Callithrix jacchus: one gene and its partners. The protein of the gene in region 1 purifies or fractionates together with the protein of each later gene. This does not show direct contact. Links are inferred from orthologs where the notes say so. Each region holds a gene or a part of one and is shown in the gene's direction. Other genes may lie near its edges.

Region 1 (6,011 bases):
CAGTAAAATGTCCTTTTTTTAAATGCACCAAAGAGGCAAAACCTGTAATAAAAAAAAAAAACACCATGTATTTTAATTCACACTTGCTTAACTTTGCGATAATATTGGGGACCCTCTCATATAACCACGAACGCCTATCGATTTTGTTAAAAATCAGATCAGTACACTCATTTGTTTAATTGATAAGTGTCCTTTATTTTGCCCGCCCTTGCCAGCCCCCTCACGCTCGCCAGTGCAGACCCGGGGCAAATTATAAAGGTGAAAGGACGTCTACACCCCCAACAAAACCAATTAGGAACCTTCCGGCGGTCTTGTCCCAGGCAGAGGCGACTAATATTTCCAGCAATTTAATTCCTTTTTTAATTAAAAAACGAGTCAGGACGGAGATCACTGTTCCTCGGCTGTCCTTTCAGAGATGTGTTTGGCCCGGTTAAATTGCCGGCACCGGAAGGGAGGGGGTGCATCTGGGGACCCCCGCGAGGATGGACTGGTCAAGGTAGGAAGACAGCCCGAAGAGTCTCCAGGCTAGAAGGACAAGATGAAGGAAATGCTGGCCACCATCTTGGGCTGCGGCTGGAATTTTCGGGCATTTATTTTATTTTATTTTTTGAGCGAACGCGTGCTAAGCTGAAATCCCTTAAATGTTTAGGGTTACCCCCTTGGGCATTTACAACAACCCCCATGTGAGCCGAAATGAAAAGTGCACTGGGTGGTGTGCCCTGTCCTCCGTCCCTGCATGCTAAATAGTTCTTGAAATTTACACGTGTTAATGAAAATGAAAGGAGATGCAGAAACTGAGATTCTTTGGCCGTCTGTCCGCTCGTGGGTGCCCTCGTGGCGTTCTTGGAAATGCGCCGATTCTGCCGGCTTGGATATGGGGTGTCGCCGCGCCCCGGAGTCCCCCCTCCTCGTGGTCTCCCTAGGCTGCGTGTGGCCTGTGGGGCTTCCCAGTTGTCCCCTACTGCAGAGCCACCTCCACCCCACCCCCAAATCCCGGGGGACCCGTTCGAGTCGGACCGGGCCCCCTGTACCCCTCTTTTCTGGCGGGGAGAAAGGCTGCAGCGGGGCGATTTGCATTTCTATGAAAACCGGACTACGGGGGCAACTCCGCCGCAGGGCAGGCGCGGCGCCTCGGGGATGGCTTTTGGGCTCTGCCCCTCGCTGCTCCCGGCGTTTGGCGCCCGCGCCCCCTCCCCCTGCGCCCGCCCCCGCCCCCTCCCGCTCCCATTCTCTGCCCGGCTTTGATCTCTGCTTAACAACAGTAACGTCACACGGACTACAGGGGAGTTTTGTTGAAGTTGCAAAGTCCTGGAGCCTCCAGAGGGCTGTCGGCGCAGTAGCCGCGAGCAGCAGAGTCCGCGCGCTCCGGCGAGGGGCAGAAGAGCGCGAGGGAGCGCGGGGCAGCAGGAGCGAGAGCCGAGCGCGGACGCAGCCGGAACCCACAGCCCTCCCCAGCTGCCCAGGCAGAGCCCCAGCCATGGAACACCAGCTCCTGTGCTGCGAAGTGGAGGCCATCCGCCGCGCCTACCCCGATGCCAACCTCCTCAACGACCGGGTGCTGCGGGCCATGCTGAAGGCGGAGGAGACCTGCGCACCCTCCGTGTCCTACTTCAAATGTGTGCAGAAGGAGGTCCTGCCGTCCATGCGGAAGATCGTGGCCACCTGGATGCTGGAGGTGCGGGGCTTCGGGCGGCTCTCTTAAGACCTCCCTGCAACTTGTTGCCCATACCCACGTTTCTTTGCTTCTCACTCCCCTCTCTTCTCTCCCGCTAGACCTTTGAAGTTTGCCGGGGTGTTGCTAGGTATTTTCAAAATAAAAATTGTGGGTATTTTCTGAAGAAGGAAGGGGTGGGGGTGGGGGTGCTAGGAGTTGCGTTTCCTGGGACGGGAGGAGGGGGTCGGGGAGGGGTGCCTCCAGGAGAAGCCAGTGCCAGGAGCACCCCAATGGGCCCGAGGGTGCGGGCTGGCAGGTTAGGTGCGCTTTGTGCCCCCCGCCTGCGCCCCAGCCATGCTGCGGCTCCTCTCCCGGCCGCCGCGGCCGAGAGCCTCCAACTCCGGGGGGAGGGGGCATAGATTTGATTTTTAAATTACTATCCATGGACACGTATGCAAGGGCTTCTCGTGCCAGTATTATGCGCCATCTTTGCTCTTTTATTGCACAGCAAAAGTGTTTATTAATAATTGGGGGCAGGGTGGGGGCGGGGAGCGGCCGCCGGGCGCTGGGGCCGCAACTAGGGGCCCGGCGGCTGCCCGGAGCCCGCGGGAGGGGCGCGGGGACGCAGCATGGGTAGTTTTGGGGGGACCCCGCTGGGGAAAGGGGGGCCTTTGTTCAAGCAGCGAGTCCCAAAGCGCCCCGCACGGGCAGCCTGGGCCGGAGAGCACGCCGAGCTGCAAGGTCGCGTGGCCCCCAAGACGCCAGGGCTGGATCCCCGTCTGCAGGGATCTCGGCTTGGGGGACCTTCTCCGAGCGAGCCGGGGGCCTGGGAGAACATTTTCACACCTTCGGTAGGCGCCTGAGGGGCCCGCAAGTATTTTTAAATAATTTTTGAAAGTGCGGCGTGGTGCCCTTGCGAGAGGGAAACACCGCCCGCGCCCAGGGGGAAGGGGGTCCCCGGAGTTTGAATTCCTGGGGCTTCCCCCGGACCCTGTAACAAACTCCCGACCCCCGGCCTGGGTAAAGGGCCGTCCGAGGGTCATTTTCAGGGTATTTTTACGCACTTAGTTATTTTTTAAATATTTTTAAATATTTTTTGAAAAGATGACGTCTGGGGAAATGCGGCGCGGCGGCCTGGGACGCCACCTTTGTGTCTCGCAGGCGCGGCGCCCAACCCCGCGGCCTTTTGCGCGGCCCCGCACCCCAGTGGGTGTCGACCCACAGCCAGAGGGGCCACGGAGCTCCAGGGCGGGCTGGGGTCCCCGGGGCCTGCAGCCCGCGCCGCCGCCCAGCTGTGCCCGCTCCCGCCCCCACCATGCCAGCCTCGCGGGGACTTTCCCTTTCAGTTTCAGGGAGGGTGGATACTCGGGACGCGCGCGAGAGGGGGCGCATCACAGGAAGCTTCTGCCGCCCCCGGCCCCGACCCCTCGGCGCCCTCCAGAACTGGTGGTCCTGCCGAGCGCGATGGGCATGCGAGGGCGGGGGAGTGGGGTGGGGGTGGCGCGACCTGGCGGCGGCGGTCACGGGCCCCGTGCCCCCGCAGGTCTGCGAGGAGCAGAAGTGCGAGGAGGAGGTCTTCCCGCTGGCCATGAACTACCTGGACCGCTTCCTGTCGCTGGAGCCAGTGAAAAAGAGCCGCCTGCAGCTGCTGGGGGCCACCTGCATGTTCGTGGCCTCTAAGATGAAGGAGACCATCCCCCTGACGGCCGAGAAGCTGTGCATCTACACCGACAACTCCATCCAGCCCGAGGAGCTGCTGGTAACCGCGGGACCCCCGCCGCCCCCCGCGAGCCGCAGGACCACCGGGCCGGGGAAGGTGCAGGGGCGGCAGGCGGCCCCTTTGCCGGGTGTCCTCGTCCTGGGAGCGGGTGGGATCCTAGCCGCCCCGTGCGCGCTTGCCTGCGACTCCCACCTCGTTAGCGCTCTGCGGTGTGGCCGAAAAATGGGCGGCGCGCGCCCTCCAGCGGCTGCACCGGGAACGCCGCGCTCCACGCTGAGCCTTCCGTTCCAGGTGGTGGGAAGTCTTTTTGTTTCCACTTGCAGAATCTTTTCACGCGGCGGGCGCCTTTTCTGTTTTGATCTGGGATCGTGTGTTGCCCCAGCTTCCTGGACCCCCCAGCATTCGCCAGTCCTGCTCCCGCACCCCCAGGACCACACGAGACTCAGGGGCTAGGGCCATACTGCCGGCTTCCCCGCGTCCCCAGGCCGGCCCGCACCTCCCCTGATAGCCGCTCACCCTGTGTTCGCAGCAAATGGAGCTGCTCCTGGTGAACAAGCTCAAGTGGAACCTGGCCGCCATGACCCCGCACGATTTCATCGAACACTTCCTCTCCAAAATGCCAGAGGCGGAGGAGAACAAACAGATCATCCGCAAACACGCGCAGACCTTCGTTGCCCTCTGCGCTACAGGTAGGGCAGGCCCAGCCGCCCCCAGCCTCCCCTTGAAAGCCAGCACCTTAGGTGGCCTGGCCAGCTTCTTGCTCTGCACCTGGGTGCTGTCCCGGAGGACGTCCCTAGGCCCCCGCCTGCGCTGGGAAGAGTTCTTCCAGCTCTGGTGAGCAGAGGTGCTGGCTTGTTTGCGCTGGATGGAAGGGGATTTGCCCTTACGGCCGCGCCACCACGCAGCCAGCCTGCCTGTGTCTAGATGCTGTGGCCTCATCCTCCAGGCCGAAAGGGGTTTACCTTGGCCGCAGGGCCGCCTCCTTTCCCCACCGACCTCCAGCCCTTCTTGTGTCCTTAAGGAGCCTGAGCTGCGGGGGCCCCCTCCTGGCCTCTCCCAGGCTGGGCGACTTGCCAGAGGCGCCTCCGGGGGCGGGGAGAGCTGTCGGCCCGCCTGCACCACGTGTTCTGGGCAGCTGAGTGCAGGGGTGTCCAGCAGAGGAGCTCAGCTGCCTGAGGCCCTGCCAGGGGTGCCGCCAGTCTGCTGGGCTCAGCTGAGCCCTGGGGAGCACTTCAGAGCAGTCTCAGCTTAGGCCGCCACCGTGGGCAGCAGAAGTACCCAGTCCTCACCTCCGCTGGCATGGCCCTGGCCCCAGGACCCAACTGGGATAGACACATGCATACACAGGGTGCTGCCTCCTGCTGTCCCCAGCCCTGCCTCTGACCCCCCTGTGCGCCTCCTTCCCTGGTTACCCTGATGGGGGGGCCCTGCCCCCTTTTGGTCAAGCCTCAGTTGTCACATCTGTTTGTGGGCTCACTCTGGGTGACAGGCCACAAGGTCCGGGACATCAAAGACACAATAGCATCTTCTCCCCCAATCCCTTGAGGGCAGAGCCCCCCCAAACCTATTTCAGCGCACCCTCTGACACAGGTAGCCAGCAGTTAGTGTATTATTCCAGAATGGTTTCTGGTTTCGGCGTGAGAGCTCCCCCACCTCCTCCACCTGCTTGGGGCAGGAAACCCTCCCCCATGTTTCCAAGCAAGTCCCCAAAGTGGTCAGATGAAGATGCCAAGAATGCCGTCCAGCCTGGATGGGTCTGAGGGGTGGGGGTGGTCCTGAAGCAGACAGGGAGGCGTTCTCTGGCTGGGGCTCCTCAGAGGAGAGAGGCCTCCAGAGACTCCACGCAGCCTTTTATGGAGCTGTAAGTGGCTTCAGAGAAATGCACTTTTCTGGAGACGTGGTGGGTGCCGTCCTTGCACAGCTTCCCTGCAGGGTGGCTCCAGCGGCTGAGCTCCCCTCCCAGGATCCCTGGGTGTTGGCGGGAGGCAGGGGGCAGGTGCAGTCTCGCCCTCCCCGCTACTGCACACGCTTTGTCTGTGAAGGCGCCCCCGGCGGTGGGTAAAGGAAGAGGGACACTTGGGAACCCAGTTGCTCTCAGTCTGCTCCAGGGTGGGCCCCGAGTGAGGGGCCGGAGGCCAGGGCACCCACCCCTGCAGAGTGCTCCAGGTCCTGACCCGTGCGCAGCCCAATGAACATAACTGAGCATCAGACATAACTGCCTGGGTCCTGCTGGACGTCGGTGGAGACGAGAGTGACTCAGGGCTGCTTAAAGTCAGAAACGGGTTGAAGGAGGCGGAGGCGTGGGAGAGAGTCTAGGAAGGTGTTTCTGCCCTCCACGTGGCACGGGTTACATTTAAAGGTGATGCCAGGGCGGCTTCTCCCTGCACCACGCATCCCTGGCCCCGGGTCCCCAGCAGGTGTGCACATGCCACATACACTCACATAAGTGGGTTTCAGGGCACGTGCCCTCGGTGCTGCAGGGGGCCAGGTGAGAAACGTCCAGTGCTGCGGAGCTGCCAGGACAGCTGTCACCTCTCTGAACAACTGGGCAGCGGATAGGGTCCAATCCTGGAGCTTTGGTGTTTCATTCTGGGTGGCTCCTAATCTAAGCACACTGCCACACACTTGGGTGGGGGC
Region 2 (5,870 bases), on another chromosome or scaffold:
AGTCTCCGCCCTTTCCTCCACTTCCACTCCCTCCCCGCTCGAGTCCCGAGTTCCCCCCCTCTCCTTTCCCCTCCCTTCCTCCCTCCGCGGCCCCGGGCCCCCCCACCACCTCTCCGCTTACCCGCTCGCTCTGGACTTCGTGCCCCGGGGGTCTCGGGGTCTCTCCCCGTCCTCCGGCGCCCTCGCGCGCTCCCGACGACTGCCCCGTGCCCACCCCGGGGCGCGCCCCCGCCTCTCCCAACTTCTCCCAACTCAACTTTCCCCCGCGCCTCGGGCAGGCCAGCCCCCTGCGTGCGCGCCCCCCGGCGCACCGTGCGCGGCCCCGCCGCGGCTGCTGGGGAGGAGGGAGCGGGGGCCGAGAGCAGGGGCCGAGGCGGGGGCGCGCTTCCAGGCACAGGCCGGCACTAGGAACCGCCCCCGCGTCCCTCTGCCCTGAGATTCTCTACTCGGGGCTCAGGCGTCCGGGGGATTCCGTCTCTTGGCTCAATTACTGCACCTCTGAGTGGAAAAGATCCCGCCTCGCGCTGGGGATTCCAGGCAGGAAAACGCAGGCACAAGGATGGCCAGGAAATTCGGGGCGGAGGAAGTCGAAATAGAAACGTACCGGGGTCGAGATTCTCTTCCGCCCCCCGCTCTCAAATAACCCCCGTACGTCCAAGAAAGTCCAGTGCCTCCAAGAAAGCCTCAGGTGGCGAGCGGGTGAGAAGGGTGGCTGCCCAGTACCCGCTCAGTACCTGAGCTGACCTGGGAGAGGGCAACTTGTTAGGCGCCCCCCCCACTTCCTGAGAGGGACAGAGATTCCCTGTGGTGGCCTCCTTACTCTTGAATGGAACCTTCACACTGAATCAACCCTAGCCATAGCCATCATTTATCATTCAAGACCTTTGTGTGTAGTTTTTGTTTACCCAACGAAATCACCAAGTCTTCCAGATAAGGCATATACTTTTCGCTTCTTTTCTCCAGTCGGCCACGTGAAGCATAGCATTGTGTATGCAAAAGCGTTCAGATAAAAACGAGTTAGTTAATACGTGTTTGGCAGCAACTCTGATTCCGATGCTGAGGAGCGCTGTTTGGGATCCTTTTCCCTCAGTCCATAGCCCTCAAGAATGCAATCATGAGACAATTAGAGAGGCAATGCAACGGAATCTATAATCAACTCCTTTAAGGGATGAGGTAGAGGCTGGTGCAAGTTGAGCACCTGTCTGTGGTCTTGTCTGTGGAGGGGGTTAACCAACCTGCCGGCCACACCCTGGCTGACTCCAGTGGGCCCTGCTCCGGAGACTGGGGTCTAGGGAGACCCCCCCCCAGGGCTCCACCCAGCTAGCCTCAGCATATCAGAGTTCAGCGGCTGGAGTCGAGTGAAGGCTGAGACAACAAACGGGGTGCAGCGGAGAGAAGGGTCTTTGGAGTGTACCCCTTCACTAAAAATCCAGCCTCAAAAAGGCACACCTGTTATATTTCCAGCCCTGCCGTCAGCTGTTCCCTGTGAGGTCATCATCGCTCAAAGGCACTCCCCAGTCAATCTTGGGGTCACTAGGTGGCTTGGGGAGAGGTGGAAACCTGTGCTGAGGTCGTCAGGAGGCCGTCGGGAACTCAAGGCCACCAACAAGGTCAGAGTTGGGCCGCCAGGGCCCGGGCTCTAGGCCGCCAAACGCCAAACCCCAAACCCCTAAGGGACAGCGCTCCGCCCCCATCCCCGCTGCATTCTGGAACGCGTAGTCCCGGAGCGGCCCTTTTCAAGAGGTCTGGGAACACATAAAAGAAATAACAACAGCGGGGCACACTGGGAACCGCAGCGCAGCGGCGGGGCGCCCGGAAAACGGACACGCGTGGCTCCCTGGGACTTGAAGTCCAGGGTTTGCCTCCGCGTTGGAACCAGAGCCCGGGAGTCAAGTGCTGCAGAGAGCCTGAGCGCAGCCGGCTGGGGGTTGTAGTTTTCTTGTCCTCGGCCTCGGGAACTGCAGGGAAACCTTGTCGTCTTAGGACTACAAGCCCCAGAAGGCCGTGCGCGGGCAGGCGGGGCGGGGCTGGAGGCTGGGGTACCGCCTCCTCTGCAACGCCAGGGCCAGAGTCTTAAAAACCGAGGGCCCGCAGGGTCCCCGCGGCCGCCGCGATGCAGAAATACGAGAAACTGGAAAAGATTGGAGAAGGTAATGGAATCTCGAGATGTTCCTGCAAGAGCTCCTCTGCATACCCTTCGGCATTCCTTGCAGCCCTGGCTTTCTTACCGTCAGCAGTACCTACAGGCTCCGACCTCAACAGCGGCTGCAGCCCTGGCCCCCCGAGCTCAGCACTCCATCCAGACACCAATCTTCCCGTGTTAGCATTTCCCGTAGGCTCCCACTCCAACCTTAGCGTTCCCAGTAGACCCGACCTCCCAACCGCGACACTTCCTGAATTTCTCACCCTAGCCTCAGCACCACTTGGACAACCTCACCCCGACCCCCAGCCTCGGTTCTTGCTGCAGACCCTCAGTCCTCTCCCAGACACCTCCTCACTATTTCCAGACCCTTCATTATAGTGAGCACTGCCTTCATTATAGACATCCTTGCCTGGCAGCCGCAGTCGTCCTGCCGAGCCCCTGGAGCCTCCGCAGGCACCTTCTCCCTCCCCACCTGCCACATCCTCACTCATAAAGCTCTCCCACCTGCCTTCACCCTGAATCCCTTCCCTTGCACACTCAGACGCTGCCTTCACCTCCCAGGGGGAGGCATTTCCTGGGTTAGGGAAGAGTGCGCCATCCTCTCCCCTGACCCCTGACCTCCTTCCCCTAGGCACCTACGGAACAGTGTTCAAGGCCAAAAATCGGGAGACGCATGAGATCGTGGCTCTGAAACGGGTGAGGTTGGATGACGATGATGAGGTAGGCTGCGGACTGGGATAGAGGCTGGGGAGGGGGTTGAAGGCCTGGGCTGGGTGGGATCTGACTGTTGCCCACCTGGCCCCCTCACACATGCAGGGTGTGCCGAGTTCAGCCCTCCGGGAGATCTGCTTACTCAAGGAGCTGAAGCACAAGAACATCGTCAGGTGTGCGGGAGGTGTGGCTGCTTGGGGGAGGTGGGGGCTGACCTGGGACATTTGTCAGGAAGACGTGCCTGGCTGAGCCCTTCTTTTGCCCTAGGCTTCATGATGTCCTGCACAGTGACAAGAAGCTAACTTTGGTTTTTGAATTCTGTGACCAGGTGAAAGGCGGGATTTGGGGGACAGTAGCCTTGGGAAGGTATAGGGGCCCAGACTGAGGTTAAACTCTGTCCCATTCCTCCACTCATATCCCTTTTTAGGACCTGAAGAAGTATTTTGACAGTTGCAATGGTGACCTCGATCCTGAGATTGTAAAGGTGAGGAGAGTGTTGGGGGACCCCTCAGGCTGGGGTCTAAGTCTGCCTTCAGTGTAAGCACTCCTTGGGCACCAAGTTTGGGCCCTGAACAGGCACGCTCTAGGGTGTCAGAGGAAGAGAAAACCCTGTTTCTGCCCCGCAGGGGCCTCCTAGAGAGCATTTTCACGTGGTTGTCTTTGACCTGCACAGTGGCTCTCAGACACCAATCTGGCCACATTAGAGGGACATCATATGATGTTGACATCAGTAACATCAATGATATTTACACCCGAGAGATGAGAAAATGAGGTTCAAGGAGATACATTCATTCATTCAACACATACTTACTGAATGCTTCACTGGGTGTCAGGTGCTTTTCTGGGCCCAAGATCAAATGCCTTGGTCCAGGTTCCAGGAGAGCCAGTCCTGAATGATACTACACCATGATATTGATGTGGATGGTCATGGTGTGCATACTCAGATGCATCCAGGAAGGGAAGATCATGGGCTGGGATCTAGGCAAGATCTAGGACCCACTGGGCAAGGCCCATTAGGCTGTATGGTTCAGGAAGGTGGGGACCAGGGCCAGCTTGTTTACTGTTGTCCCTCAAATGCCTAGCACAGTACAAAGCAGGTCCTGGATGGCAAATGAATGGTGTCACTCTGAGCCAGGTGCTGGAAGGTGGGTGGAGTGTAGTGAAGCACAGGGTGAGGAGAGGAGCCGGCCAGTTGCTGGCCACAGTTATGTTCAGGGTGTCTGACTCCCTGCTCCCTGCTCTTCCCCCAGTCATTCCTCTTCCAGCTGCTAAAAGGCCTGGGATTCTGTCATAGCCGCAATGTGCTGCACAGGGACCTGAAGCCCCAGAACCTGCTAATCAACAGGGTACTTTTGGGAAGAAGGTGGGGAAGGGGAGGCTAGGACCAGGGCCTGGGGGAACAGGACTGGGAGGATGGAGCCTGTGCTGCCCCAAGGCTGCTCAAAGGCCCTTCGCCATGTTCCCTTTCCATTCCCCTCAGAATGGGGAGTTGAAATTAGCTGATTTCGGCCTGGCTCGAGCCTTTGGGATCCCTGTCCGCTGTTACTCAGCTGAGGTGAGCTGGCAGCTGGGATGTGGTGTTGAGGGAGGGAGCCCCTCAGCTCCTACCCCAGGACCCAAAGCATTATTTTCCTCTCCTCTCTGAGCTTCCTCCTTGAACCTCCTCCCCAGCCCTCTAAGTGGGAGGTCCCTGTCGGGGGGGGTCTCCTCCAGGTGGTTACACTGTGGTACCGCCCACCGGACGTCCTCTTTGGGGCCAAGCTGTACTCCACGTCCATCGACATGTGGTCAGCCGGCTGCATCTTTGCAGGTGATGTGCTTGGGCACTGCAGAGGCACCTTCTTTCCCATTTGGGTTGACAAATAGGATCTGGAGGGTCTCTGCTGGGGAAAGGAAGGGAGGCCCTGGGACGGGCTGGAAGGTCAGGAGTCCCTCAGAGTGAGGGGTCCTTCACATGTCACATCTTAGCCCCTCTCTTTCCTCCAGAGCTGGCCAATGCTGGGCGGCCTCTCTTTCCCGGCAATGATGTTGATGACCAGTTAAAGAGGATCTTCCGATATCCTTCCATTTTCCTCTGCCTCGAGCCCTCTGGGAGGGGAGAGCCCATGGAGTTTTAGCGCAATGGGCAAGGGCAGTGATGATATGGGGTGGGATGGTGGGGTCCATAGGGCTTCTCCTGAGGGCAAGGGGAGAGAGCAGGCGTGCTGGACGCCCTGATGGTCACAGAGCATATGCACACTGGAGAAGGTGCCACTTATAGGATGGGCAGTGTGCCCTGGGGGACGAAGTCAAGAGGATGTCCCTCCAGGTGAGAGACGGATGCCAGGGTGAAGGAGCCCAAGGGAGCAGGGACACGTTTTGTGGGAGTGGGGCAGGACTGGTTCATGAAGACTAGGCCATCAGCATGTGGGTTAGACTAGTTAGCGATTGTCATGGGAACCGGCTGGATGTGTGAGTGACATGCTGGGGCTGCTTCTGTCAAGCCCAAGCCGGAGGGTAAAGGGAGGGTGAGAGAAGAGGGTGGTGGGTATGAGGAATCCCTCCCAGGAGGGGAAGAAGCCCTCACCTGTCCCTGAAGATGCAGCTGTGACCCTTTCCCCAAGTGATCCTTGACCCTGTGGACACGCTGCTGGGGACGCCCACCGAGGAACAGTGGCCCTCCATGACCAAGCTGCCAGACTACAAGGTGTGATGGGGAGTAGGGGGTCATGGTTCATCAGGGTCCCTCTTATTTCACATTCCTGGCAGCCTCCACCCCTCCCCTACCCCTGGTCTGCCCCTCCCTGCCTCTCCACAGCCCTACCCGATGTACCCGGCCACAACATCCCTGGTGAACGTCGTGCCCAAACTCAATGCCACAGGGAGGGACCTGCTGCAGGTAGGTGACCAGAGGTAGAGGGTGGGGCAGGACACTTGTCCAGAGGGACTACAGGAAGGCAAGGCTCTGGGCAGTGACCTGTCCTGAACCTGCCACTGCCTTTCTCCCATCTCCAGAACCTTCTGAAGTGTAACCCTG
Region 3 (6,099 bases), on another chromosome or scaffold:
ACCCAAATGCTTTTTCTCAAGCAGAGCCAAGGGGAAGGCTGTGAGCTCTTCATTTTAATATTTTTATCCAGTGGGATAATAGTAACAGTAATTGTAATACCTGCATAATAATCGCATGGTAATACCTGGAGGCAGTGTGAATTGATGGTTACAAACATGGGCCTGAAGTCACAGAACTAGCTGTGAACCTTCACTGCATTCTTATTTCTTTTATGTACAAATCTTATGAAATAAGAGAAACAGGGACATTAGGAGTTTAGTTACAAGTCAGACCACTAAATAGACAAGAAGAAAGATCCTGTCCTTGAACTTTAAGGTTAAAGAGTATATTTCTTTAGGCATTGTGTAAATTGTACACTAATTTGCATTGTGAATCCTTAAGATGAGTTTGTTGATACTTAAAAGTTTCTCAAGATAAAATGAGAATTAGAATGACTAATTTCAATCATTTTGGCAGCTGATGTATTTGAGGTTTATAGTAAAAATTCCAGGATGCTTCAGTAAGAATTTCCAGAGAACCATCTATGCTAAAGAACTTAAGGCTATTTGTTTCTCAGAAAGTGGGAAAATACAATTTGAATGTCTTTCTTCTGTAGTAATGTTTTAATACTTGAGAAACTGTAAATTTTTCTTCCCCAGGACCTTTCCCATTGTATTTATTCCCTTCTTAATTGGTCTTCTCCTCTGTGTCTAAACTCCTCCTAATTCTTCCCTATTTCTCATTCAAGTAAGAAACCCAAGCTGGAGGTAGTAAACCTAATCTGAGATTACAGAAGAGTAAAAAACTTCTGTGGTAGGAGCATTTGTAGTTGAGGCCTTTAAGATTTTATAAGAAAAACAAAATTATTATATAGATGAGGTAAGGAACAATCCCGTGAAAGAGATCATAAATCTTTTATTTTCTAAAATTCAAGATAACAGAAGACATTGGTGTCATTTTATACTTCTTACATTAGAAATAATGGCTCTTGAGCTACTTATTTCTATTTACTATTCCTTAGTTTGCTCTTCAGTCTCTCCACTGTAGTTTTTAAAAGATGCTTGCAAAGTTTTTATTCTGGGTTGTAGGAAATGCACAAAGCAGGAGGCATTTTTTATTTTTTGTCTTCTCCTTAAAATTTTAGAGACTTTCTGGATTTTTTACTTGGGAACTGGTTCTTCATCCATCGTCTTATGTCTTATCTTATATAAGCCCCTTCTTATATATAACACTCGAGTGTGTTCTCAGAGTCTGCTCTTAATTTCTTTCCTCACCAAATCTCTTTCCCAATGCTGTTGCAAGAACATTCCCTCCTCTGCCATCTGCCATTCCTCCTTTTCTTACTTCCTCCTACAGTTTCTTCCTTTAAATATTCTCCAGTGCAGAATGGCTCACAATTTGGCTAATTTGGATATCCCAGAACCAGAATTCTCATAACATTTCTCAAATTTCACATGAGGGATTCAAAGTCGGAGCTGGATTGCTGTCATTATAAGTGATAAGTATAAACATCTGTGTACTGTGATCTTACCTTGATACCGTTTCTACATTCCAGAAAGCAGTTTACTTAAAGAATGACAATTTGTTCTTTCTGATTTTCTTTGGTTGTACCTTTAGATCTTATTGTCCCCTTGTGAACAAGTATATTTATTTCATTTGGAGTTCTTTTATTTTATAAATTAGCCTTCATCTTGTACTCAGCTAACGTATAATAAACATTTGTGGGGTTTGAGACACCTTGTGGAATGTAAAATACATTTAGGGGAGCCATGGGAAGACTGGAAGAGCAGGTTAAACACAGAAGGTCTTCAGGCTAGCTGAACAGCCTGGGTTCTATAAACACAGGGAAGCATCCAAGGTTTTGGAGCAGTTGAATGACTAATCTGAGCTAGGCTTTAGGAGGATGCCTTGGAAATTGGCATGTAGAATAGGCTAGAAAGAAGAAAGACTGAAGGTCAGGTGACAGTTATTGTAAGGCAAGTTTGGGGCTTTTTTAAAAGTAATTATTGACAATGTGAAAATACAAAGGATGTTTCTGACTCTAGGTCATGGATGTGCTCATTGATCTGTGGTAGGATTTTGTTGAAATTCCAAAATAAATGTTCCCTTTCCCAAGACTTTGTACTGTGTGTCCCAACCTTCAGCAAATACAGATCAGAGAGGTGAATTTCTAGGCACATAGATCTGAGTTAAGAAGAAAAACATCATTACCAACACCACACAGTGTTTACTTCGCAGAAATAGGTTTCCTTTTTTGTAAAACAGAATTTCACTGTTAACAGAGTTGAATTTCAACTCATGTGAAATACCTAAAGGGACTGGCTTATCTATGCAGAAAAAAAATGATAATACGTAGAGAGGTAAGATGGCTATTGCCTCCTTAAAGGATGTGATTTTTCACCCATGTTTTCCACCTGTACCCAACTACCTAACCCTATCTAAAGTATCTTAGGGAAGTCAGTGGTAGTTTTCATCACACAGAATGGACTTGTTGACTATGAACCATTATTAAGAAGTTCATGAATCCTGATAACATCTCCTTTTGAGAGGTGAGCCTAGTTCACATAAAGGTTAAGTTTATATCCTTAATTTGCATGTAACCTTTGGTGGTTACAACTGGCACCTCAGTAAAACATTTGCTTTTTACCATCACTAGCTTGCTAGTTTCTTCTCACAACACAGTAACCCCATTCAGATCACTGTATAAATGACAGCTGGAGAAAGGAAGCAAATATGGTTGGATTTTAAATAAACCTGAGTTTCTAAGGTTATTAGGAGCCTCATTCAATAAAATGCACCAGTGCATTTCCTAAAACCATGTTGCTCAAGCTATATGGTCTGTGCTTTCCAGTTTAATTTGCTATTTTCTCAAGTCATTTATTATAAATTGTATTTTCAGACTGCATTTTGTAGATGATACAAATTGTAAAATTTGGGTCATATAACTCTAGTCAAACAGCTTCCATAGATACTGCTATTCTAAAAGTCTTTTCTTCCTTTCCAGTGAACTTGGAGAAATTCCCACACTAAAAACACTACAAGTTTTTGGAATTGTGCCAGATGGTACCCTTCAACTGTTAAAGGAAGCCCTTCCTCATCTACAGATTAATTGCTCCCATTTCACCACCATTGCTAGGCCAACTATTGACAACCAAAAGAACCAGGAGATATGGGGCATCAAATGCCGACTGACCCTGCAAAAGCCCAGTTGTCTCTGAAGCATTTATTGCAGGATGGTGTCTCTTCTTTAGAACAGGGAAAGTAGGCAGGAAGCCCAATTGATGGAGTACTTAGCTAGTTTTATTCTTGGTTTTCCCTTTGCCTTCATTCTGCAAGTATATTAGGGAACCATTTGAGAGGGAAAACTATGCAATCTTGCTTTTTGAAATGATTCTAAAAGCTTCTATCACTGCTTTGCTCTTAAGAGCCAAAGTTGTAGGCCTTTTGAAATCTTGGGAGAGTGAGCCTATAATTTCAAGATACCTTAAAGAGCAAAATTTGAGCCACCTTTTCCAAGTACCCTTCTTATTAAGTCTATTAAGAATCAAGCTTAAAAATTACCACCAGCAAACAATCTTCATAGCTTATATAAGTTTTATCTATTTAATTTTATAGTATTGCTTTATAAGACAGCTTAGAAGAACAATAAGCTATTTGTATTATGAGATGAACAAAAAGAGAATCATAGGATAGTAGCATATGAGGCCATCTTTTCTGGTAATGAGGAAGAGAAAAATGCGTTTTAATTTTGTCTTTAGATTTGAAATTATGTTAATAGAAATTAGTAGCCACTTAATTCACCTTAAAACTTACAAAAGACCAAACATTACAAAAACCAGAGGTATAGAATTGGTATAGGATTTGAAGGCCCAGGAGACAGCTTTCTACGACAGGTTAATTTGAAGTATCTCATAATGTTCATTAAGTTACTGTGTTTCCAGACTTCTAAATTAGATGAGAAATATAATTGTTTTCTAACTTGATAATCAAATTATGTGAACATGGGTCTTTAAGATTTTTAAATGACTTGCTTTGTTTTAGAAAGGTGCTATTAATCTAGTCTCTATTCTTGAACATTTGGATGGAAGAATTCTGAAGTTGCCTGCTGTTTTCCTTTAGCGCTGAGGTTCTTAAGGTTACTTTTGTATTCTAAAATCAAGTATTTTAAATTCTTTTTTTTTTAATGATCTCTCACCAATAATTGTTTGAAACTATCTATTTATAAGGGTATCGGACCTAAAGTCCGAGGAACTGCACTCCCTTCAATCAGAAATATACAATAGAAGCAGGTATATGTTTCATGCAGTTTCAGTAGTATGCACTACTTATACCTATGTAAGAGTTAAAATCCAGATGTGGGACCTTTTGATACCATCCGTGATATTTTTTATAAACTGGTACATAGAAGTGAAAAGATTAAGTTCTACTTCTGAAAAATCACAAAAAACTAGTTTAAATTGACTTCTTCTTAGGTTCAAAATGTAACGCCAAGAAAAGCCAAAACCCATCATTTGTATTAACTTTTTTTTTAATCAAAAATTGTTAACGTTAGAAACATAGTATGAAGTGCTTTAATCTGCTTAGACCTAAGGAAGATTTTAAAGTTGGGTTACACAGGAAATGATTATGCTTAAATTTCTTAGTAAACAGTGCTAAATACTACTTGAAATTATTGTTTACAGATTAGTGACAAGAGCTGGGGTTAGGATTCAGTTGGACTCTGACATCCGGATGCCCTCAAACATACAGAACTTCCAAACTCAAGTCCAGCCATAAGCTATTTTGCCAACATGTCAGAGTAATCTGTATTTTTGTATGTGATTTCTACTTTTATAGACTTGTTTTAAAATAATAAAACACATTTTTATAAAAATGAGTACTTAAGCTAAGTTGTATTCCTTTTTTCTCTTATTTTAAGTACTGTGATTAAAATTTGAAAGCATTTAGTGTGGTATGCCATAGAGGCCTCTAAATAATAACCTTCAAAACAGAGCCCTGGGATGGTCCTTTTCGACCCATCTACTTTATATGCTTGTCACATAAAAAAAAAAAATGATAGTTTATAATGCTTTTTGAAAAGGGGTTAATACAGGCTCATTATCTTTAAAGTGCATCCAGTAGTAATGTATCTACAAAAACATTTGAATTCAAGTGACAAAGGTGATACTCAAGTACTATCAATAAAAGTCAGCTAGTAGCAGTTTTTAAATATATTTGATCAGACTATACTATGTGTTTTAATGTCATTCAGAAACTATTTGAATGTTCATTGTGTGCCCAGAGGTCCTTCAAGAATTCCATTCCTTTTGAACCTTTCCATTCGAATGGTAGAATGGTGATTCCTTTTACATTATCACCGTTATGCCTTGTTTTTAATGATGAAAAACATCAAATATGTTTAAAAAAAAAAAAAGAATATGATGAACCCCATCATCCAATTTCAACTATCATTGACTCCTGGCCAATCTCTCTTTATCCATGATCTCAACCATTCCCCTCCAACACAGGTAATTTTGAAGCAAAACCCAGTCCCATAATTTCCTATTTCAGTATAGACCTCTAAAAGATAGGGATTCTCCTGCATGAATCCTGAAGCATTATATATCAAGATGATATTGAAAAATCCTCAATTCTTCAGTGGGTTTATTTTGCTCAAAACCTAAACACGGTGTACACATTGCATTTGATTTAAATTCTCTAAATCTTAATCATAAGATTTCTTCCTTGTAATTTATTAAAGAAAATGTTATCTGTTCTGTGTTCCACATTCTGGATTTTGCATCTATCCCTGGAGTGATAGGTTAAGGTGTCCCCTATTTCCATAAACTCATAGTTAGATCTAGCAACAAAAGCTCTAGACCAGGGGTGACTTCCCCTGACCCAGGAGATATTTGGTAACATCTGAAGACATTTTTGGTGATCACAAGAGAAGTGCTATTGGCATATAGGCAATAGAGGCTAAGGATGTTGCTAACCTTCCTAAAACAGGACAGCCCCCCAACAACAAGGAATTGTTTGGACAAAACGTCAATAGTGTCAGTGTTGAGAAACTGCTCCAGAGGCTTTTATCATTAAGTTCTCTTTTTTAGCAAGGAGACACTTGATAAGTAATCTGTTCT

Evidence for each region.
Region 2: the proteins of CCND1 (region 1) and CDK5 purify together in Homo sapiens (co-immunoprecipitation; 4 studies listed by BioGRID and IntAct, counting the BioPlex papers as one, with this or other methods). This does not show direct contact. The link is inferred for Callithrix jacchus from reciprocal best matches to the Homo sapiens genes CCND1 and CDK5.
Region 3: the proteins of CCND1 (region 1) and SKP2 purify together in Homo sapiens (affinity purification with western blotting; 3 studies listed by BioGRID, with this or other methods). This does not show direct contact. The link is inferred for Callithrix jacchus from reciprocal best matches to the Homo sapiens genes CCND1 and SKP2.

What each region holds. Positions count from the first base shown.
Region 1 is NC_133511.1:126,558,145-126,564,155, forward strand, and holds the start of CCND1 (G1/S-specific cyclin-D1), read left to right. Parts: upstream 1-2,200; 5' UTR 2,201-2,283; coding exon 2,284-2,505; intron 2,506-3,197; coding exon 3,198-3,413; intron 3,414-3,903; coding exon 3,904-4,063; intron 4,064-6,011. UniProt on the Homo sapiens protein: Regulatory component of the cyclin D1-CDK4 (DC) complex that phosphorylates and inhibits members of the retinoblastoma (RB) protein family including RB1 and regulates the cell-cycle during G(1)/S transition.
Region 2 is NC_133512.1:97,154,325-97,160,194, forward strand, and holds the start of CDK5 (cyclin-dependent kinase 5), read left to right. Parts: upstream 1-2,067; 5' UTR 2,068-2,113; coding exon 2,114-2,150; intron 2,151-2,774; coding exon 2,775-2,863; intron 2,864-2,959; coding exon 2,960-3,027; intron 3,028-3,121; coding exon 3,122-3,182; intron 3,183-3,281; coding exon 3,282-3,338; intron 3,339-4,104; coding exon 4,105-4,200; intron 4,201-4,334; coding exon 4,335-4,409; intron 4,410-4,567; coding exon 4,568-4,664; intron 4,665-4,840; coding exon 4,841-4,910; exon of another isoform or gene 4,911-5,162; intron 5,163-5,457; exon of another isoform or gene 5,458-5,479; coding exon 5,480-5,540; intron 5,541-5,651; coding exon 5,652-5,732; intron 5,733-5,848; coding exon 5,849-5,870. UniProt on the Homo sapiens protein: Proline-directed serine/threonine-protein kinase essential for neuronal cell cycle arrest and differentiation and may be involved in apoptotic cell death in neuronal diseases by triggering abortive cell cycle re-entry. Interacts with D1 and D3-type G1 cyclins.
Region 3 is NC_133503.1:169,455,034-169,461,132, reverse strand, and holds the end of SKP2 (S-phase kinase-associated protein 2), read left to right. Parts: intron 1-2,984; coding exon 2,985-3,198; 3' UTR 3,199-4,853; downstream 4,854-6,099. UniProt on the Homo sapiens protein: Substrate recognition component of a SCF (SKP1-CUL1-F-box protein) E3 ubiquitin-protein ligase complex which mediates the ubiquitination and subsequent proteasomal degradation of target proteins involved in cell cycle progression, signal transduction and transcription.